Oreochromis niloticus: one gene and its partner. The protein of the gene in region 2 interacts with the protein of the main gene of each other region in a pairwise test. Links are inferred from orthologs where the notes say so. Each region holds a gene or a part of one and is shown on either strand. Other genes may lie near its edges. The genes, in order: nphp1 and bcar1.

Region 1 (3,925 bases), on a different chromosome or scaffold from region 2:
TTCACTATCTTGATCTTCCTCCTCTTCCGACTCCTCCTTTTCATCATCATCTTCTTTTGAATCATCGTCATCATCATCGTCATCATCAACACTAGAGCCAATCTAACACATTATGGTTACATTTAAAATATAATCAGAAATCATATCCTGTTATGATCTCCATTTTTTGTCAGTCTATACTAATATTAAAAACACGATAAATAAAGAAAACTGCTGCAGGCTGCATTTTAATGTTCTCAGTAATGTTTTATAATTCCTTCAGCTAAACACTTGTCTAAATGAAAATTCATAATGTTGGACTTGCTATCGTTGCAGTTTTTGTACCTTCAGGAAGGTTTTTGGAACCACTCCTCTGCTGCCTTTAGTGTTCTGAGCCAGCCACCATCCATCTGCTGTCTTCCTGATAATCCTCAACACCTCCCCCTTCTGAAACAACAGGCCACGGAACACCATGTAGTTCACATAACTCACACATTTGTAACAAACAGATGAGATCAAACACAGTTCATCACAGGCAGGTCTGGAAATCAGATTTGAGGATAAACCTATCTTCCTAATCAGTTAAGTACTTGATTAAAAAATAACCGGCAATGGAATAAGATTCATTTTGTCCCTTTCCAATTCTGAAATATTTATATAGAAATACATGACCTTACATTATTTCAAACACTTAAATCATTCATCATTCTGAAAAATTAATTACTTTATATAATATCAAATTGGATAAGTGGAAAAAGATGAATGGATGGATGGACATAATGATTAGTAAAGCTTATAAATGACACTACAGTGCACTAGACTGTATGCACATGTCCACCAGACACATCACAGAAATGTTTAAAATTAAATAGGTATATAGTTTTCAGAAATATGTAAATTACACTTTTTTCTTAATTCACGCCTGCAAGACTGCAGATGGTGGATTTGGATGGCTAGAGCGCCCTCTTCTGTCGAAACTAAATATTATACAATACCGCTTTTAACATCCAAGGGGAAAGAATCCAAGCTCTAAAAGTCCTAAATATATTGCTGACATCAAGGCTGTTTGTATTTTACCCGAACAGACAGATCTCCTTCCTGCTCTCCTTTGAAATCACTGAGGACCATGTAGATGCGAGCATCTGACTGAGATGGCGGTTTCAAATCTCGCCTCTCATCACTGCCAGTGTTGTTATCATTTTCTACATGCTCTTCTTCATTATCGTTACTGTCTTCGTCATCGTCTTCTTCAGCACTATCTTCACTATCTTCCTTTGAAACATTACTGTGGACCAGGGAATAGTTAAGTGAAAAAAGGTATTCTTTGGTCAGATTTGTCATTCATTTGTCATTGAATTTGTCAGATAAACTGATGCTTTGCAATGAAGCATGCAGATTAAATTGTGGGGAAGTCAAGCCCCTGCAGCAAGGACTGTAAAGTACATACACAGATCAACAAAAAAACTCTATCATCCCAGTTTTCCTTCTTTGCAATTAGCATACATTTCACTAACCCTGCTTCAGTGCTAGGTCCTGGTGGCGACAGCTCCAGAGAGAGAGTTTTTAGACGCTCCAAGATGTTTTGCACTCGTCGCTCCTCTTCCTGTTTCCTCTGATCATAATTCCCCACTGGAGCCAGCTCATCAGCCTGAAAGATCAAGCACTAGCTTATGATGTCTAATTAGCTACACTGCTGTCAACCATGCAACATTTTCCACAAAGATAAATTAATATATAGATTTGGTGCTGTAAGTAATGACAATTGCCTTCATAAAAACAACTTATATTAGTCAAGTAATATCACTGATTGCTTCCAATTGTTGGCATCCAGAGATTATATTAAATCTGTGTACAATAATAGTATTTGAAAAGGTTGAAAAGTTTCTTAAAGATTAGAAAACTAACCTTGCTCAGTTTCTTTAGTGTCCTTAGTGTCTCCTCTGCTGACATTTGCAGTTTTTGGCATCTGTTTGCAAGTAGATATCAAATTTTCAAGCATTCCATAAAGTAGGTGATTGGGGGATGTGGTAGAGAGGGTCATCATGCTGAAATATCCTTGGGCAGACTGATAGCGAACTCACTGATGTACCCATTGCAGTGTGAGTATGTGTGTAATTGTTAGAAAATGCTTAGTTATAGTTACAATCCTGTATGGATTTGTGCGTGACTGGGCGAGTGACACTTTTAGCAGAAAACACTGTGAGTGCTCAACTGAGTAGAAAGGCGCTATATAAGTACACACAAGGATTTCAATGTTGAAACAGGTGAGGGTGCTTGTCTTAAGAGTAAGGAAGGGCACTGCTGGTGCTCTGCCACAGTTGGTTACCTTCGAAAGGCCTCTTCAGTGGATCCAGCCTGACTCTGGGCATCCTTCTCCAGACTGTCAACCTGTGAAAGTGTTTAAATCAATGTACGGTTAAGAATTGCACAGGACGGTATACATATTGCACATGATTTGTGCAAAATAACCATATTTCATCAGTTCAAATAAAAGTTGGCGTCATCAATAAGCGTTTATGTTGATGATTATGTCGGTTTTTATCTATGTTTACATTGCTAACTCACAGCAGTGCATCACAATGAATTGTTACGAACAGATGCTAATCAATATTTATGCTAGCGCAAGCCACGTCGGTGAAGGGCTTATAAGACAAAAGTGTTTAGAGAAACAGTCACGTTCAAGCCTCGGGATCACTTCATTTCGAAAAACCTCTGGGGGTACATGTGCAACAACTGTATAACGTTCAGTCTAAGCAGTTTGGTGCAATCGCACCTAGGTTTAAAGACGTCATTCTTTAACTGACCTGTTTTTTTATTTCATCCACTTCTCTCTGAGCTAGCTGCAAAGGTCCTCTTCTTTTTAGTGGCATTTATACACTTTTTAGGGTCATACGATCCGTGTGTTAGCTCATCTCCTAGCTTGCTAACTGACGCTAGGCTTCCAACAGTTGCTAGGCAACTGACTTCTTCTTCCTCGGATTATTTTTTTTATTTTATTTTCAATGTAATTTCCCATAACCCTGCTCATTGTGGGTTTATTTTAGTCAGCATATTTTGCTTATGTATTTTTTTTAAATATATATATATATTCGTAACTGAATTAACGCGATATTAATACAAAGGCTTTTCTGTTTTTTCCCGCAATTTTTGGCAGTTTACATCAAGCTACCGCCGCCTACTGGACTGGATGATGAAGCTGTAGGAAAACCTAAAAAGTGGTTGGTAACTATCATCGTATATTTTCTCACTATTCCTCGAAAAATTACTGATGTTACTGCGACTTCATAATGTTGGTGTTGTTTGTGTTTAATGCGCATTTGTTTCAGATTCAGTCCCATAAGGGTAAAAACTGATCGGTCTAAGGCCAAATTTGGGATCAAAAGGCAAAACTACCATTATTGATTGTAATCATATATAAATCCAAGTACTCTCCAAATTCTGATGTAATATATTTGCATTTCCTCTAATACCAGTTTTTAAATGCTAGCTGTTTGATGCTTTTACAGGTTTTATGTCCCAAAAATATAACAAAAGTTATTACTGATATTTTTACTTCTCTTCCAAACTCGAGTGTGACCCTCCCTTCCCCCCCAATAATCCTCAGCTTTTGGCTGTTCGAACCCATCCAGCACCACATCTACAGCTCCGCCATATAAAATTATATCACTCTTTCAAAGGACACTTGCGATGCACAGTTGTGTAAGTGCTTTCAAAAACACCTACAGGGGGCGTACGTTACGTCCTTTGCCCTGCGTGTTACCTTCACTACCACTTGTCATTTTCTTTTCCCCAAATTTCAAATGTATAATTTCAAAACATGCCGTCACTGTAACAGCGTTATTTTTTATAAAAAAGTTTAATCGTCGCTTATGCTTAGCTCTATTATGATGTCGTTCTCCAAGCGTCCTCGCTAAATTGCCCCCAATTTTCTATGTTGCGACCCTTT
Region 2 (3,925 bases):
TCTTAAGGATGAACTGGAACACTTGTGGGCATGCGGCCCTTGTTCCAGAAGAACTGCAGTGTTGGTAAATAAATTACCTACAGTACTATTCATCCATCCATTTTCACCCACTTATCGAATTCATGGTTATTCATGGTCGCAGGAAGGCTGGAGTCAGTCCCATCGGCCATAAGGCGAGAGTGGGGACATGGAACCCAGACAGACACAGGGAGAACATGCGAACTCCACACAGAAAGGCCCAGGCAGATGGTGGATTCAAACCCTGGACTTTTTTGCTGTGAGCAAACAGTGCTAGCCACTATACTGAAAGGTAACACAAGCATTGGTTCTGGTGACACCTAGCATTAGGTGACCTTGAACCATCCCTCAGTTTTGTCTGAGGCTCAGCCACTGCTGTATGCTTTAACTTGCCTGTTTTCTCCCCACAAACCCTCGGTTTGTCTTCAGCATTGTAGACAGGCTGACAAAAAATCTGAGCTGAGTTGAGTGAAACATTCCATTTGACCTTAACTAGTAAATATTTCATTTGTTTATTACCAAATAAAATTTCACCATCAGAGAAAAAAATTACTCATAACCATCTCACAGACATAACATTATGTACAAATACCTTCAATTTTTCCACACCACAGGCCTTCAAGCTGGCAGTAGTTCAACAGTTATTTAAAAAGCCGTCTCTTGACCCAGCTGTCTTAGCTAATTATAGGCCAATCTCCAACCTTTGTGTCATATCAAAAATCCTTGAAAGAGTAGTTGTAAAACAGCTAACAGATCATCTGCAGAGGAATGATTTATTTGAAGAGTTTCAGTCAGGTTTCAGAGCTCATCACAGCACAGAAACAGCTTTAGTGAAGGTTACAAATGATCTTCTTATGGCCTCTGACAGTGGACTCATCTCTGTGCTTGTCCTGCTAGACCTCAGTGCAGCGTTCGATACTGTTGACCATATATTTTATTACAGTGTGCCGTAGGTATTAAAGCTACTGCACTGCAGTGGATTGAATCCTATCTATCTAATAGACTCCAATTTGTTTGTGCAAACAGAGAGTCCTCTTCACACGTGAAGTTTAATTATGGAGTTCTACAGGGTTCAGTGCTAGGACCAGTTCTGTTTAGGCATAGCATACATTTTCAATGTTATAAAGATGATACACAACTTTATATATCCATCAAGCCAGATAACACGCAGCAATTAGTTCAACTGCAGGAATGTCTTAAAGACATAAAGACCTGGATGACCGCTAACTTTCTGCTTCTAAATTCAAGTATAACTGAGGTTATTGTACTCGGCCCTGAAAATCTTAGAAACATGGTATCTAACCAGATTCTTACTCTGGACGGCATTACCTTAGCCTCCAGTAACACTGTGAGGAAAACTGGGAGTCGTTCTTGACAAGGATATGTCCTTAAATATGCATATTAAACAAATATGTAGAACTGCTGTTTTTCCATTTGTGCAATATCTCTAAAACTAGAACTATCCTGTCTCAGAGTGACGCTGAAAAACTAGTTCATGCATTTATTACTTCTAGGCTGGACTACTGTAATTCATCATCCTAAAAACTCGCTGAAAAGCCTTTAGTTGATCCAAAATGCTGCAGTAAGAGTACTGACAGGGACTAGAAAGAGAGAGCATATTTCTCCTGTATAGTCTTCTCTTCACTGACTCCCTTACTTCTAGAGTTAAGGGATAAAACTTTCCTTTTTGATAAAGCATATAAATGGAGCTGGATTAGGTGACCCTGAATCCTCCCTTAGTTAAGCTGCAATAGACTTAGGCTGCTGGGGGCTTCATATGTTGCACCGAGTGTTTCTCATTTTCTCACCCCTTTTCACTCACCATGTGTTTATACATATAATTGTTAGTTATTATTCACTGGCTCTCTTCGACAGCATGTATTTTGTCTCCCTCCCCTGACCACCAACCTGACAAGGCAAATGGCCGTCGCCTCCCTGAGCCTGACTCGGCCGGAGGTTTCTTCCGGTTGAAGGGGAGTTTTTCCTTCCCACTGTCGCCAAAGTGCTTCTCTGTATTATTGTAGGGTCTTTGCCTCACAATAATAAGTTCCCAGAGGATATAATAATAAAGAAATATACAATATAAAGGAAACTGAATTGAACTATACCTTGTTTTCTATCTTTCTGTTTGCCCTCATAGCCCAGGTGCTCACAGGTTGCTGCCCCTCCTCCCCTGCTTGTGCTACTACTACAGTGCACTACTGTCCTTTCACTAATTTATATGTACTTTATAAATTAGTCCTTTTTGCTGCATCTGCCTCATGCTGTCCTGACCAAACGACTAGCATATTAGAACTTTTTTAAATGTCAAAGAAGTGACACAAGCATGTATGTGGGAAGGAAATGACAGTATGATACAGCAATGCATGAGGGTCATGGAAGGACAATCCACTGTTAACTATGCTAACTCCACTAACTGTGTTTTGACTTTGGTGAGTTTTGTGTGTGGTTCTACAGCCAAAGCACATTTGTTTTTTAGTTTCTTTGTTTGTTTTTTGTGTATATGCCTGTTATCGGTGAAGCAAGCAAGAACCTGCCAACAAACTGTCCTTACACCCCCCAACCAACCCCGCCCCCGACACAAACTCACGCACACAGAGTCCCACTTAAGACAGCATTCCACAGCCTCCACATACAAACACAACTCCTCTGTTACCTCACATTCCAGCGGCACAGCAGCCACACTGCATTTCATCCTGAAGTTGACAAAGCAACAAAAAACAGCAGAGCAGTCCTATTTTCCTTTCTTTGACCGTTTTTCCCGTCTCTTCTCCCACACGGCTTCCTCTTGCTGTCTCTCTTTCTGCCTGTCTATCTCTCGCTCCAAACATCTGCTTCTTTCCTTCCTCTCTTCCACCGTCAGTCTGGCCTTCCCTCCCCCATTCCTTCTTTCCTGTCTTGGCATGTCAAACTATTATGGTGAAATAGTTGTGCGTACACGGCTGATTTGTACCAGCAGAAAAAAATACCCCACCAGCCAGCTGAGCATCTAGATGAAGCTGGAAAGTGTGTGTTGCAGGACAGTGATGTTTACAACGTGTGCACAGACCCAAAACAAAAGGAAAAGGCTCTATATTTGAGTCATCTGCCATAATAATGTGAATTACTCCTCTTGCAGTAATGTGTTAAACTGTATATTATTTCATTTTAGTGAGGAGCTGTAGTGTTCGATGCGCCAAATATGTATTTCTGAGTAAACGCCGAGTTCTCTTATATTTGACATGGAATAAGTTTAATTAACCAGCTGTGCTTATCACTAAACACTAAAGCTTAAAGAATTACCTTCAAGAAAAGAAAAGCAGGACGCTAAAAAAAAGGATACTGCGTAAAAAGGAACTCTCCACTGATTTTATGCACTGAGATCAATTAACCCAGTTTTAGTGTTTCTGGGAGACCTCTGTTAAACCCGATGATCATCCGTGACGTGTAAATTATATTTTTGGGAAGTCCTCAGTAAATCTTTTGATTTCTGGGGTGTGCCCTTAAATATGCCAATTTAATAATCTATTCAGCCTGAGTACAACAAAAGGTGGATTTCCAAGCAGCCCTGGCTGCTTTCTAGTGCAGGCTTCTGCTTTAGCAAGTGAAGAATGTCTGCCTTCAGGCTATGACTAACAACAGAAACAACAGCAGTGATTTCGTAGCCTGGAGAACAGGACAGGCTCACACAGGTGTGGCCAGATATTGCTTAACCTGATGACAGATGATCTTGGTAGGAACTTTTAAATAGCTGGCAGACTATTCATAACAGATAACTGGTTGGCTGAAAACAGCTCGTCTTTGTACACAACAATGAGAAACCGAGGTTGCAAGAATGCAAGTTACATGAAGTGTCTTACTACTGAAGAGATTTAACTGAAATAAAGTTCATACCAGCAGCGTTTTTGATGTTTGTGTTTTTAAAAAA

What was found.
Region 1: the proteins of bcar1 (region 2) and nphp1 interact in a two-hybrid assay, tested with the Homo sapiens proteins (2 studies listed by BioGRID). The link is inferred for Oreochromis niloticus from reciprocal best matches to the Homo sapiens genes BCAR1 and NPHP1.

What each region holds. Positions count from the first base shown.
Region 1 is NC_031978.2:9,814,698-9,818,622, forward strand, and holds the start of nphp1 (nephrocystin-1), read right to left. Parts: upstream 3,051-3,925; 5' UTR 2,850-3,050; coding exon 2,784-2,849; intron 2,368-2,783; coding exon 2,306-2,367; intron 1,946-2,305; coding exon 1,885-1,945; intron 1,628-1,884; coding exon 1,494-1,627; intron 1,265-1,493; coding exon 1,057-1,264; intron 427-1,056; coding exon 325-426; intron 103-324; coding exon 1-102. UniProt on the Homo sapiens protein: Together with BCAR1 it may play a role in the control of epithelial cell polarity. Involved in the organization of apical junctions in kidney cells together with NPHP4 and RPGRIP1L/NPHP8. Does not seem to be strictly required for ciliogenesis.
Region 2 is NC_031972.2:39,743,604-39,747,528, reverse strand, and holds the start of bcar1 (breast cancer anti-estrogen resistance protein 1), read right to left. Parts: upstream 2,871-3,925; 5' UTR 2,714-2,870; coding exon 2,675-2,713; intron 1-2,674. UniProt on the Homo sapiens protein: Docking protein which plays a central coordinating role for tyrosine kinase-based signaling related to cell adhesion. Implicated in induction of cell migration and cell branching. Involved in the BCAR3-mediated inhibition of TGFB signaling.